Neodiprion lecontei: one gene and its partner. The protein of the gene in region 1 binds, or shares a complex with, the protein of each later gene. Links are inferred from orthologs where the notes say so. Each region holds a gene or a part of one and is shown on either strand. Other genes may lie near its edges. The genes, in order: phenylalanine--tRNA ligase beta subunit and phenylalanine--tRNA ligase alpha subunit.

Region 1 (8,513 bases):
ACGTTGTGGAAAATAAGTTGGATCTAGAAAAAAGTAGAGTACGAATGAAAATATGTTGAATCGAGATTCGTTGGTATTAACATTGCAGTTTTTTCCAACGTTCTCGAATTTTTTCTTTGACAAACTGCGTCTGTCGGATTACCATATCACTATTCTAAGCAAACCTTAATACTTAATATAATCAGCACGACTGGATCATCTGACACTTGACAGAAATAAAGTTTTAGCTGTACTTTACAGAGAATCTATCAAACTTTGGACTCTTATGTGTGAAAATACTCAGTTTCAGCTTATTTTTTTGTCTAACAAATACAAACATTTTCAGATCTATTTGATGAAATTTAAACATTCATTGGTCCAGCCATTTTTTTTTCCCCCCTTAGAACACAGTTACGGGTAGTAATGACAAACTTAATTTAAAAGAAAAAGCAAATATGCTAAACTTGATCTGAGATGATGGCATTGAAACGGATACTAGAAATACATCATTGCAGAACTAAAAAGTATCGAAATAGCTCACCGTCGGCAGCACGCAAGTAGTAACCATTGGAATCTTTAGCTGTACTCCATGGAACTTCAAGTAACTGCATAATTCTGTCTAAAAGACCATGAATTATCTCGAAGCCTGCAAACTTATTACAATTGATTGCACAAATTCGTCTTTCATTACGGGCTCCAACTTCCGCTGTACAATCACGCAGTACTACATCGGATATTTCAAATAACTTTTGGGGTAACGGCATCTTTTTGTTAGCAGCCAAAGTCTTCAGAAGTCCCGGTAGTAATGTGGTCCTAGCTACCTAAACGCAGTTAGTTGAATATTTTATGGCTGGATGTACTCAATGTTTGTAAAGAAAACATAATGTATAATGCAAGCATTAAAAAACTAATCGTATTATCAATTTAATTGGGTCGCGAACATGTATTGCTTAAAATTGTGTTAAATTATTAAACCGAAAGGTTTGTGATTTTAAATGATACCTACTTGAAATTCTAGTGTCTTTGGATTAGAGATATGGACCGCTGGTACATCCTTGATGCCAAGTCTCAATTTCTCAGATATATCCTCTCGAGAACACTTGAATTGGAGTACATAATAAAGAAACAATAATGAAGAAAGAGGTTTCAGATGACGAGAGGCCAAGTGAAAGGATTTTCAAAAGTAGCGACGATACATACCAAGGAAAATGTCAAAGCTTCTGTAAATCCAGCATGAGCAACTTCTTCTCTCAGTTGATCAGATAACTTGTTTAGTGGAAACTAATATAACAGTATAATTAGTTTCCGGAATGAAAGGTAATATTAGGTCTTCTTTCGTATGGATAATATAATACTTGCTTCACCTGTTCTGCGATTGTCAACCCTTTGGGTAATGTTTTTACTATGTTGTTGTAGCCGTAGGCAATAGCTATATCCTCGTAGATATCGCAAGGATGTATGACATCATGCCTTGTGGGAGGTATTTCAACTATTAACCTGTCGTCTTCAACTTTGGTTTTCAAACACATTTTAGAAAGAAGCTGTGCAACGTTGTTTGGCGTTTCTCTGAAAGTACAAAATTTGTTAACGGTTTACGTTTTCCTAAGTGAAATAATTTCGTGAATATTATTTATTGTTAACATTTTAGTGAGAAAAAAACGAAAAAGATTATAAAATCTATATCCTTAAAATCATATGATAAATCTCATCCACGGCACAATACATTTTCAACAGGGTTTAACCGATGATATACTGAAATTACTAAGTGTGAATTAAAATTAAAAATGATAAACTGTTGTAACTCATTTAAATATTTATAAAAGTATTCCAATTGCTGTTCGAAATATTCATTCTCTCCATGACTCAATGGGAAGAAAATTTAAGTATGTTGACGGCAAAAAGAATGCGATACTTTTGATGCTTTTCAGAAATGAATAACACATTACACAATCTGGGTCCAAGCAAAATAATAGAGATGAGATTTTCGTTTGTTGCAACAGATCTGTGATGATTTTATACTGTCTAGTTTGGTAAGTTTGATTTTATTGTGCTTAAAGTGTACCGTCATAACTGTTCAGTGAAGTAATCAGCATTATTGAAATGTATCAATTTTAATTTCTCACCCTCAATGCGCACAGTAGGAATAGAAAGATCCTAGACAAATTCACCTTCAAGTTGCTCTCAGCCATGACATGAAAATTGAACTTATCTCATTATCCTGCTCAAGGTACTCCTTCTCTCCCCTAGCACAGTGCGTCATTCGTCAAGCGTCAGTATAGTTTTGGCATTTGGGTGAAAGTATATGCCTCGAGATTTAGAGGTGCAATATTTTCCAGTGTGTACACAATGATTGTTTGATGTTATTGGTGTACTGATTTTTCTGTGATCTTTATCATTGATCATCTTCGATAGAATGTAAGTATTTCATGAAGTGCAATGTGAATAATTTTGCAGTGTCGTTAATATTTTATAAGATTTTTTGATATTTTTATAACATTTTACTTGTACCTGATTGTGAGTACGAAGGAAATGCAAGAGAAACTTAGTGCATTATGCAAATAAATCAATATATTTTGTAAAAATCTTTTTTTTTTTTAATTTCCCTCATTTCGATTAGCAGAGTGAACAGAATAATTTTTATCAAATGCGCACTGTAGCACTAATTCATTTCTTAAATTGACTATAACCATTATGTAATTCTCCTGAAGAGTACACGTTAAGAGTTGATAAGCAAGGCTTTCTATGCGGAGAAACTAGTTCCTAAGTGGAACTGCGCCAGACTACTCAATTGGTCCTCCTGTGATCTTGATCTTAGACAACAGTGGCGCTGCCTCTACCCTTGCAACAGGGTCAGACTGTATTGAGTTGAAAAGACAATACTGTTTGCATACATCAATGTTAATATGGATGAGACGTTTATTTTTTGATCTTAATAAGTAGAAAAATAATGACTGTAATAACTTACCTAATACCGATATAGCCAGTGGCTTTTTCTGGACTGATTTCTTCATTTCGATAACTGAGATTAGGGTATTGGAATCTCGTCCTATCGGGATATATCACCTCCACCTTTTCAGCTGTATATTTTTCTTTGCAGTACTGACTAAACATACATATCAGTGTATCCAGGACTATATTTGCCTAAACGAAAATAAAGGTGCAAAAACTGACATGTTGGTAAAAGATTTCAAATTCATTTTTAAATTAAGCATGTGATACAAAGCTGAACGTAATTACCTTAGTAAGATCCGTAGCTGTACATTCAATGAGAACATTTTTAGTGTTTAGAGTAATCTTAGAATGATCTCCATTGATTATCGGCGGCAATGATAATACCACACCATTGCTATCATAAATAATCGGATACACAGGACTGTCCTTTATGATTGGTAAATATTGCTTGAGCTGTGCGTGGTTCTGCAAGTGAAAATGTAGGGTTTGGCAAATACAATTAAAAAAAAATTATCTTGCTACCTTAGGGATGGACGAAAAAGAAAACTGACGTAATGCGGCATGACTCAAACAAAATTTGTGATCACACAAGCATTATCATAAGCCTTATAAGTTTCCAAAGTTCGAAACGGTTCCATTGTTAATTACCTAATCATCAAGTCTATCGAATAAGACATGTTTTTTCCATAAAATTTTCGAAGAGAATAATGAAGTCTGAATAAGAGACATATAAATACATGAATTTATGATACGATGTAACTCAAACATGTCGCATTTACATACAGCATACAAATCCATGATCTGCTCTCCTGTGTATACTTTTTGTTGATTCAGCGGTTTGAAAGAAATATTTTTCGGAGGTTTAGCATCATAAGTGAAAGGACCCTGAATTGTGTCCAAGTCGTGAGTTCCTATTGCCACAAGGCTGCGTTTGCGACAAATGTTTTGATGGAGCTTATCTTGTAAATCGATAAGGCTTTTGTAGGAATCTTGGTTTATCGTTATATCTCTTAATATGGCTCCTACAACGTAACATCGTATTCTTTGAGTCTGTCCAAACAGAAAAGCCAACAGATAACATTTCCAGTGTGAAAGAGTTCAAAAAGAAGCACGATGATAAATTGGCGCGCCATTTTTGCAGCAGTAAATATTTTCATAAACAGAACTCACACTTCGAGTAACGATAATTTGATGTAAATTGCTTTTAGGTAGAAGTGCTGTATATCGAGGGGGTGGATTTCTGAAATAACAATTAACATTGAATTAACTATAATTGATAATGTCAAGCATTAATTAAGCCAAGGAAAAAGCTTTTGCACCAAAGAGTGATTCTTATTCGAATAATCCTAGTCTAGAACGTATTTTTTTCTAATTTTCATATTGTATATCGGTTCTTTCAGCTGCACAATTGCAATTTTAAAACTCACATACTTTGTGGTAATTTTAAACCTTGGGAATGCTTTTTTATAATCTAGCTAAGAAACTTTGGTCACAAATAGCCAGAAATTTATCAGATAGGACTTCAAAGTTTGCAACTTGTACCTTGATTTAGACTTCAATTTTTACACATTTCAAAGTTTTTAAGGAAATTAGTTATTTTGCTGAGTGAGTACTTCCTTTAGAAGCTGAATTCAAAAATACTTTACTTAGTACACCACGCGTTTTCTTTTTTTTACTGTTTTTAATAATAATAATTATTATTGTTGTAACAAATCATGTTTAATAAATACCAAGTCTTAAAACGTAACTGGTAATTTACATACCTCAGAATGAAACTACTTTGCAAAATGCTATTACGATTGAAATCATATAGTGAATTAAATTTAAGAGCATCGATGAATTATTACGACTCAAAAATAATGTGTATACTATGAAGTATACATTCTGCTTGTAAATATTATGGAGGCTGAAGTTAGTAATGTTAACGTAATGAACGATTCGAGGAGAAGTTCAGTACTTAGAAATTATGTAGTGACTTTGAAGTAGTCAAGTTTCACAAAATATGAATGTTTTGGTTTATTACAGTTTACTGCATTAAAGACATTCCTAAAATTCAGGCATAAGGATTTTCACGAGACGTCGATCATCGCAGTAATGTTATTAACTTCAGCCTATTAAAACTAAACAAATAGTATGTACTATGTGATTAATACTTCTCTAAAAATACAAGAATTCCGCTGACTAGACCCTCAAGGCATAGGAGGTCATATCGGTTTGCTGGAATATCAATTCTGTAGATAATTTCATCCGAAGCATCTGCACCATGATCGGAGCCTTGTTCTTTCGCTATCATTTGCTTTTCCGTAGTCTAGATGTGAGAAAAAACATTTTTTATGTACATATAATCTTCTGTATAATTATCAGCTAACATTAAGCTAGTTTGATAATCGGGTAATTTTAATATCTACATCGTTATGAAATTTATGTACACACCTATGAGGGTCTTCAAGAAATATTTAAATATGTCAAGACATTAATATGCAAATGTGTTCTAAACGACGATAATCTTATTTCGCAAGAAATAATGATTTCAGATATCATTTAAAACATGTGCATATGTTATATCATACATGTTTTACTACGTTAAACTACGGTTCACTGTGTTATATAAATTTTGTTTCTATACCAAAATTTGAATCCTCTCTGTAAGTACTCTACAGTGTTTATGTGTTCAATTTTTAAATACCTGATCGTTCAAAACAGAACAGCCATTGTATTTCAAAACTATAATATGACACATATTGAACATTCTGACACAATAATATTGAATAATTTTTGTGATCATTAAAAAAGATCTTACCACTTCGTCCAGTTCAAGACCAAATTTGAAACATAACGATTGAAATTCATCGTCAGCTGAAAGTATAAAAGGCCACAATTTATAGCTATCAAAAAATTATAATGATCAAAGCATTGTGTTTCAGTTGTTGGGAACTAAACAACCTGCAATGGAATGGAATAAACGACTCGATAGCAAAAACTGCAACAAAGAGACTATGTGGACAAATAGGAACGACATGTAAAATTGTAGTTTACATGTAATAATATCATACAAAAAGATGAAAGTATGTGAGTGCAGCGTAAAGAACACAGTTCAATTTTCAATTAATCTTTGCTTTCAGCAATATCAATGAACAATTTTGAAAATACCAGTTTGATGATTAATATTTAGATACTAAAACGTCAAGGTCCGCCCTTTCCATCTAAAAACTTACTGTAAGTACTTCCTAATGCTTTGAAAAGCAAGTCACGTTTCACACTAATAGTAGGCATATTTGTGGAAAAAGTAAAATTTAAACAACAATATCATGCAACATAAGAGTAATATTCGGTACGGAATATACAACTAAATATTGCAGCACGATATCGTATTTGAGGTTCTTCTGCTTGTTGAATCTATCGCATTAGGGTAAGTGCCAATCTATGTGAGGTTACGTGAAGCTACCGTATAAGCTGAAATGAGGACGTACACGAATGCACATCAGTCATTAGCTCTGTTCACGGTCTTACATACAGGTCTTGCGACTCTGAGTTTCGACGTGGGCCTCTTAACGTGTCAAGCCGCTAGCGTCGCTGCGATCGAGGGATGCCCGGTGCGACAAGGACACGGTCTTGACCGTGTTGTGAACGAAACACGATACGGAACACGCACGTCAGTCGTCAAAGGCTTATTCAAACATTGTAGGTTATGTTGATGCACCCCTCGATCGCAGCTCCATCTGGATTTTTCTTCAACAGAGGAGCCACTCTCTACCATTGGAATTCTATTGAGTCGCAAGACCTGTATGTAAGACCGTGGCTCTGTTCGTTTTAGTTACTCTTTTCTACACTTTTTACACTTTTTCTGAATCTAGCCAATGGAAGGTGCCCTTTCCTAGGGAAAGTGTAAAAAGTGTAGAAGGTGTAACTAAAACTAACAGAGCTACTGATCTGACTTAGGTGGTACGCGCACTAGTGGCTGGATTTTTATGGTCAGCAAAGGGAGCTTTCCAGCAAGGAGACAGTGTGTCTCAGAACTGTGTGGCACTTGGAGATTAGAAGGCTTTGTAGCCATCAAATGGAGTAATAAGAAGACCTTCAGAACTGTCAGTTAGTGTTTATAACCTCAGTAATACAATATATGAAGCAATATAATGCAATGTTCTCCGTAATTTTATTCATCAATTAATAATCACCTATCTATATTTTATTTTCCATTTTTTGAATAGCTTATAATCAACATATCTCTCATCTGTAATTCGAAAGGCATTTTGTTTGATGCAAACCCTGGTGATACTTCAACGTGGATTATATTTTCACATTAATAATTGTTCAAGTAATAAATATGTACCAAACTTGGTTACGGCAAAATGCCGACCGAAGAAAAGAACAAAGCACAAAGAACAAAGAACGAGTTCAAACCACGCGAGATTTCAATATATCTGTCATGTCGGTACGGTTGGCACTACTTTTCGCTGAAATTTGAGTTTAAAGTGTGATTCAGAAAATATTTAAGTGGGAGGCGCTTAAAGTTCATATAAACTCGACTACACATCAGCTTTGATGGAGGCGTACTTCAAGACCACCACTTAAAGCTTAAGCGTAGACCAGGCATATAGGACTCTGTGTATGTATTACGCATAGATCTTAAATAATAGGGACTACAGTTGTCAAGCTGATTGCAGCTGGCACATAACCGTTGGAATACTTTGTCGCGAAATTGCGATGTTCTAAAATGAAAAAGTATTTTGTTTGAACGATTGAAGAATTTAAACAGGTTAATTTGCCATGGTGCTTTTCTCCAAGTGAAGACAAAAGATCTTCTATAAAGGAAAATGAATTTTAACATAATATTGTATGCTTGTATTTGAATCTTGAACCAACGATGGTGCTGCCACCAAGCTTCAAGAGTTGGCAGTGTAGTTCCCCATCACGTCGGCTGCATTGCCAGTCATTGTCATATAATTCGTATAGAATCGAACTCGTATTTTTTTCGGACCGAAAACAAGTTGCCCCGAAACTTTAAGTGCGCTACTTTCAATCTCGTGGCATAATCCTTTTGTTTTTTTTCCATTCCAAATTCCTATGTTACCAGGTATAAAACGTGCATTTTGTGCAACGCTCTCTTGGCTCGTGCCTCAGGTCCCACCTGTAGACTTTTAGATCACTTAAGTTTTCGGTACTTTGTCATTTGCATATGCTCTACGGGTTCAAAAACTTCTGTAGAAATTACAAACGAGTATTCTTTGCCGCGCAACTCAATACTCCATTTTATTTAGAACATAGTTCTGCCTGAACAACCAGCAATCTTTCCATTTAAACTTATAATTAATTATCCGGCATCCTCCATTTGTAAGCGAACTATTGTGCAAATAAATACTTTAAAATTAAATTTCTTAGTTTTCTCAAATAAAATAGTACGTGAATTCCTGTTCCCTCATCTAGCATCATTATCTCGTCGGAGGGACATCTCATCCGGTGTTTGACACTTTAAAAGGTGAGCAATTATAATTAATAATCGTCTATTAGGAATAAATCTCGGTTTCTCTAAAACAAGCAATTGAACCGAGTTGTCCAATGCATTCTTACGCTTAATTGGTATT
Region 2 (6,716 bases), on another chromosome or scaffold:
CAAACTTGAAAGTTGTTCGATGAAAAAGTATGAACAGACTGTGATTCCCAAAATTGATATTGTACCCTATTCTGCTTATGCATGTATTCATTTATTCATTCATTTCTGCTTTAGAAAAGGATTCGGTGCTAGTTTTGTCAGGAGAGTGAGAAAGGCCGGCTCTGAGCTCTTGAACAAGGTAAGAAAAATCAAAATATGCAAATGTAAGATGCCGAAGTTACTACCTCCAGTGAATCCTACAATTCAGGTTTCTAAAACTTTAATTTCCGATTAACAGAATCGTAGATCCTGGGCCGAGGACACCAAACAGTTGGATGGCAAAACATACGAGTCCGAATCTGGTGGAAACGATTCCGACGCCAGTGCAGAAGATATTAGACCGATAAGAGGTAAAAAAGGTACATAGCTTTAGTTACTGTTTGGATCCTTAGTAAAGAGCTGAAGAAATGAGTGAACGAGTGGTGCAAGTTTGGTGCGAAACTGTTCCATATATTAACATTTAGTGTTTTTTCTCTTTTTTCTCATCAATTCAGAACAGCCAGATATCACGGAGCTGAGAAGCGATCCCTTATCGCTAGGCTACCCAGGCACTCGGAGAACAGTTTACTATACAGACGAAATTCCATCGAGCAAAACGACTCTGGATGTAAGTCTGTGTCATGAATCTGAAATAGGAAACTTCTTTTACTCCAATGAAAAATTACATTATTCTTAAGGATAGTGATTTTCCATTAAACAGGATCAACGAGTAGCTGATCCAGCGAAGATGTTAGAAGGAGATGAGAGAAACAGAAACGGCCAAATCGATTCGAACACAAATCCAGATTTAGACGCGCAGAACAGTAAACATCCAGTATTGATTTACAACAAAGTATCAGCGGTGATAAACGAATCGAAAAATATCTCTACAACGGAGAAAGATATTCCAGCCAATATTCCTGAAACCGTCGGTGAAAGATCATCCGAAAAAGATGCCAAAGCGGCTTCCGTTTGGTACGAATACGGATGTGTATAATTTAATCAACGAATAGTTACTAATTAATCAAGTTATACCGATCGCGTTACAAGTACAAATTGTAAATATTAGCGCTTACCTAATTTTGTTCTCTTTACAAGATATTTGTAATTTAGACTTGGTCAAGATTAGAGGTAACCGTTCTGGTTGTTTGTTTTTCTTTCAGTTGAGAAAAAAAAATAGAGGATTCCTACCTTATTGATTTTAGTTACCGAATATAGAATTAACTGAAATACTATTGATATGTGGATAGTTAGTAAACAGGGGTAAAAGGTATGCGGTTTTTACATAATGCGACAAAATGACTGTTTAATGAATGAGTGTAGAAATTATTATTTATTTCTATTGCTGCTTTTTAAAAAATTCTCTTCCATGCGTAGTTTTACCAATGTAGTATTTTCCAAAAGACTGGTGTTTTAACGAATTTACTTGCCTCGCAAATAATTGGGGCAATAATAACAGTGCACCTTTCATAGTATTACTCAGCTTATTTTTGATGAATGTTCTTTTTTTTTTAAGTGTGAGAGTCAAAGACTTGATCAGCTGTACAGCTGTATCAATTGAATGCTGTTTTATGCAACTAGGATAAGGCTAAAAAACACCAATTATGTTATCATTAGAGCCTAAGACCGATTTATCGAGATCGTAACAGAATCTATTCCATCAATCTTCTCACCTTGAAGTCATCAGACACTCTCAAGAGGTCACACATTGTTAAATTCCATCGGCAGCTTTGGTAGAAATAGAATTTGTTACGTTCTAGAATTCGGGCATAGTCGCAATATGAATGGTGTAATTAAAACTTTCCTACACAATATTGTTATTTAACAATAAAAATCGGCGAAATTTTTATTTAAACAACTGCCACCAATTTTTTATGTTTTCCATTGTTCCTTATATTTAACAAACAAAAAACTATGAGAAGAGAAGAATTGAGGAATGTGATCCCGTTTTTCTGTTTGATGAGTTTGGTTTGAATCACTGGCATTCGATAAACAAAAGCCAATCAGCAGCTATCCTTTGAATGTAAATTTCGACATTGATTGTCGATAATGAAGGGATCGATTCAGCGTAATTTTCTAAAATTCTAGGTTAGGATTGAGCCGTGGCATGACACGCAGTGCGGTTCATCACAATTAACGGCGGTTAGCAAAGGTTGAAAAGAATTACTATTGAAAAAAGATTTATCATCGGATGTGAGACAGTTAATAAAATCTTGTCAACATGGCTAGCGAGTTAGCGGAGAAAATACTTGAACATTTATCAAAGCGTGGCGATGGAGTGAGCACTCTGGATCTGGCTGAGCTATTCGTTGAAGATCATCAGAAAGTGATCGGCGCTGTCAAAAGTCTTCAAACCCTCGAAAATGTAACTTTTGCACTCTATCGTTTCCTTCCAATAATACTCAGAGCCGTATTCAATTGTTCATCACTTTTTTGCATGTAAACTTGACATAAACAAAGTAAGAATGACGCAACAGCTGTAACTATTTTCGAATATTATTCAATGTTCTACACTGTCAGATCGTGATCGAATTATTATGAATGTACTGCTACGATTAAAATTGATTATTTACTCTAAACCAGAGTCTGATTCACCACAGGTTATTTCAGTTGAACAATTGAATAAGAAGAGTTGGGCACTGACGCAAGAGGGTCAGCAAGTCGCTGAAAATGGGAGCCACGAGGCTGCGGTCTTTAAAGCTGTGCCAGACGGTGGTGTGGCGCAAACAGAGATTATGAAGACTGTACCAAACGCTAAGGTGGGATTTTCCAAGGCATTGGTAGCTGGCTGGATCGAGCTGGACAAGAGCAGCGGGACTCCGATCGTTAGGAGAAAAGTACCCTCTATAACGGACACAATTCAGTTACATTTGAAAAATGTTGCCAACATCCCGGACAATGTTAAAAATGATTACAAGAAGAGAAAACTCCTGCAGGAAGTGTAAGCTGCAATGATAGAATTTTCGGTACTTGTTATTTTGATAGTTTTTCATTAGTTAATTACTTGTCTTCGCAGGGTAACAAAGATAATGGTGTTGTCAAAAGGACTACAATTTGTGACTAAAATTGAGAAACTAGAAACAGATCTTACGGCAGATTTATTGACAAACGACTCTTGGAAGCAAAAGAAGTTCAAGCCTTATAATTTCGATGCTCTCGGTGTGGCGCTTGACATCGGTCATCTGCACCCTCTTCTTAAAGTCAGAGCTGAATTCAGAAAGATTTTCCTTGAAATGGGGTAAGATACATTTTTTGAGCATATGCCAATTTTTAACCATTGACAACAGGCGATGCAATTCTTTGACTTTGAAAAGAAACTCATCTTTCTTTTGTCCTCTTCACTCATTCTTATAGATTCTCCGAAATGCCTACAAACAATTTTGTTGAGAGTTCATTCTGGAATTTCGATGCGTTGTTTCAGCCACAACAACACCCTGCGCGAGATGCGCATGATACTTTTTTCATATCTGGTAAGGAATTATTACTATTTTCAAATCATCGGATCCCCTTTTGTATGCTTTTTACATTCGACATTAATCGTCCAAACTCAGCGATCCTCACTTAATTTTTGTAAATTCTTCAGAACCAAGAACTAGCTCAAATTTTCCTAAGGATTACTTGGAGAAGGTAAAGAAAGTGCACAGCGAAGGCGGCTATGGATCGCAAGGATATCGTTACGAGTGGAAAATTGAGGAAGCTCAGAAAAATTTACTCAGGACTCACACAACAGCTGTTAGCGCCAGAATGCTCTACAATCTTATGCAGCAGGTAAGCTGCATGTGTTCAGTATTGACTACAAAGAAAATAAATGGTTCATGAGCTGCCACGCTATATGCATTTAACAAATTTTGCATTGATGTTGTGATAAAATACGAAACCAAGGATTTTTTCTAGTAAATCCTGTTGAAATCTAGCTGAGAAGCATCTTAATCTGCAGCTTTGTGAATTTTAGGGTGAATTTAAGCCTGTGCGATACTTTAGTATCGACAGAGTATTCAGGAACGAGACACTCGATGCCACACACTTGGCTGAGTTTCATCAGGTCGAAGGCGTAGTTGCAGACTACAATCTCACACTGGGCGATCTGATAGGAACACTCTATGAATTCTTCAAAAAACTCGGCATCATTCAGCTGGAATTCAAGCCAGCATACAATCCATACACCGAACCGAGCATGGAGATATTTTGCTTCCATAATGGCTTGGGAAAGTGGATAGAGATCGGAAACAGTGGAATTTTCAGACCTGAGATGCTGCTGCCGATGGGGTTGCCCGAAAATGTTAATGTTATTGCATGGGGTCTGTCTTTGGAAAGGTAAAACCATTTTTCAAGTGTTGGAGCAATTTTCTCGCGACTAAGGCAAGGGAAGAAGGAAGTTGCGCCATCAGAACTACTGGTTTCCTAGTAATGTCAGTCATTAGTCATATTGATCAGAATTCAGATTGGTTCAGACTCAGGATTTCAATTAACTTATTAAGCAATTCTTACGCATCATTCACATCAAATATTACAATTATTTAATCCAGTAGTTGGTAGATCATTCATAAAAGAGGATAGAAAGTAGGTATTGATCTGTATGATATTTTGTTTTCCCTACAGGCCTACGATGATCAAGTATGGATTGAATAATATCCGTGATCTAGTTGGACCAAAAGTGGACCTGCAAATGGTACATAACAATCCCATATGTCGTCTTGAGAAGTAATTATCAATTTCATTTATTCATTCTACATTATTTAATGCATGTTTAAAATAAATCGTCTATTGAGCGTAGATTGTTTCATTTATTATCCTGTCCATTTTATAATATCCGTTGTGTTTTTTCAGTCCCGCAAATAACGTATATCTCCTACAACGTGTTTCCTCGCCTTTGTAGTTTTTGTATTACAGGAATTATGTTCAGAGAAAAGTGTCTATCCTTAGCTTCATTCAGAATCATTTGTGCATCACATGGATGTTTCTACATGCATAAGTTATAAGCTTGATAAGAAATGGTCACAAATGCAGATAAAATAGGGTGTGGCTTGTTTTCCTAGGAATGGACCGCGGATATTGAAGTCAAAATATACGGCAGAACAGTTGGAGGAACGTTTGGATAAAATTCTCTTGGAACTAGAACAGTTACAGAAGGAATTGCCAAGAGTTGGGCGCTCAACAACAACGTTTGAAAAAAAAAATTTAGTCATATTCTGCGATCCTAGTCGACCAATGTATTCTTTAGAAACTCTACTGAGTTTGATCAATGAATTTCATAGCGTATTCGTTTCTACGTATACCCATTCTAACGTTGCGGTATTTCCTCAAGAGTTGAGAGATTTCTGTTCAAAGTTTAAGAAATCTACAAATGCTGATACCGCTGACATCACTGTAACGATCGTTTGGAAGATCGTTGGTGTCGACCCAATTTTAAAACTTAATCAGAATCATGAAATTGTTGGCGAAGTCAACATAGCTCGGTATTTGAATCGGTTCATTGAAGCTGAATGCAGAAACATCTTGGAATACGAAAGTACCTCGGCTGCTTACGCTGATAAAATAGACTCGGCATTAGACAAAATACATGGCATCATACACGGTGCTACAAGGCACAAACTAGACACTATGCAAATTAAATCAAAAACCGGATATATAATTGGTAGCAAACTTTCAATTGTTGACATCGTTTGGAACTCTGTAAAAAAACATCACACTAAATAGTTTTATATGTAAATATTTCTGGATTCTATAAAACGAAACAAAAAAATATTTTATTACTATTGATAATTATAAATGATTATTTCTTTTCTACAGCATTTTATTGTGATTTATCAAATTGAACATATAAATTATTTCACCATTTTAATATTCCTATTTTTTCTTTTCCCTTCTAAACAAACCCTAACTGATACTCCATGTTCGAATTTCGAATATAAGAAGCCTGGAGCAAAGACCGCGACTCGTGCGAGTATTAAGGTGGTAGTGTATGTACAATTTCTACTAAGCCCGTACTTTCAATGAATCACATTGCTAGATCATCAATTAGTCAGTCGATCTTGTGCATCCCTGCAACCGTTGACCGAAGACTTATAAAGATAGTTACCCGTAGGTAAATTTTTGTGTACTTGTATTTTCTAATTTAATTCAAAACTCCTATTAATTTACAGAATTCCATTTTCTAATTTAATTCAAAACTCCCATAAATTTACTGAATTCCGATTTAAAATCGCGAATATCTCGGTTTCCTAAAGGGGAAATAGAATCGGGCAGGTAATTAGCCCATCGTAAGAACTCCCCTGGATCCCTTAATTTTATTTCGATTTTAATTTTAATTTTCAAACCTTAAATCGCGAATATCTCGAGAACGGTGATAGATAGCGCAAAAATAGCAATAATTCGGGATCTGCTGGTCTGATAGCATCTAAATTTAACAACAACTCCAATTGATTCGCAGAATTTCGATGACAAAAATCTAAAATCGCGAATATCTCGAGAACGGTGATAGATACGGCAAAACTAACGAAATTTTGGAGGTGTCCTAAAGGGGAAATAGAATCGGGCAGGTAATCAGCCCATCGTAAGAACTCCCCTGGATCCCTCAATTTTATTTCGATTTTAATTTTAATTTTCAAACCTTAAATCGCGAATATCTCGAGAACGGTGATAGATAGCGCAAAAATAGCAATAATTCGGGATCTGCTGGTCTGATAGCATCTAATTTT

The links.
Region 2: the proteins of phenylalanine--tRNA ligase beta subunit (region 1) and phenylalanine--tRNA ligase alpha subunit are in contact, whole or in part, in a crystal structure (PDB 3L4G), measured with the Homo sapiens proteins. The link is inferred for Neodiprion lecontei from reciprocal best matches to the Homo sapiens genes FARSB and FARSA. Residues at the interface, in NP_005678.3 of Homo sapiens: Glu26, Phe29, Gly32, Leu33, Pro68, Ala69, Asn70, Ile150, Arg152, Asp259, Thr261, Lys262, Arg305, Lys316, Lys317, Val318, Gly319, Ile359, His360, Cys362, Asp363, Glu366, Ala369, Ile370, Tyr374, Asn375, Ile377, Gln378, Met379, Thr380; in NP_004452.1 of Homo sapiens: Ser221, Gly222, His223, Leu224, His225, Leu227, Leu228, Arg231, Ser232, Arg235, Leu239, Gly242, Phe243, Thr244, Glu245, Pro247, Asp249, Asn250, Phe251, Ile252, Glu253, Ser254, Phe263, Gln266, Gln267, Phe277, Phe278, Leu279, Arg280, Asp281.

Annotation. Positions count from the first base shown.
Region 1 is NC_060263.1:10,025,967-10,034,479, forward strand, and holds the start of phenylalanine--tRNA ligase beta subunit, read right to left. Parts: upstream 6,377-8,513; 5' UTR 6,205-6,376; coding exon 6,147-6,204; intron 5,788-6,146; coding exon 5,732-5,787; intron 5,240-5,731; coding exon 5,085-5,239; intron 4,172-5,084; coding exon 4,102-4,171; intron 3,982-4,101; coding exon 3,715-3,981; intron 3,397-3,714; coding exon 3,217-3,396; intron 3,121-3,216; coding exon 2,945-3,120; intron 1,546-2,944; coding exon 1,344-1,545; intron 1,261-1,343; coding exon 1,180-1,260; intron 1,079-1,179; coding exon 986-1,078; intron 801-985; coding exon 521-800; intron 24-520; coding exon 1-23.
Region 2 is NC_060264.1:28,395,742-28,402,457, reverse strand, and holds phenylalanine--tRNA ligase alpha subunit, read left to right. Parts: upstream 1-2,070; 5' UTR 2,071-2,239; coding exon 2,240-2,383; intron 2,384-2,618; coding exon 2,619-2,959; intron 2,960-3,034; coding exon 3,035-3,256; intron 3,257-3,372; coding exon 3,373-3,488; intron 3,489-3,601; coding exon 3,602-3,786; intron 3,787-3,970; coding exon 3,971-4,332; intron 4,333-4,617; coding exon 4,618-4,719; intron 4,720-5,054; coding exon 5,055-5,715; 3' UTR 5,716-5,860; downstream 5,861-6,716. Other genes in the region: girdin, read left to right, coding at 1-27, 115-178, 278-398, 534-646, 740-1,015.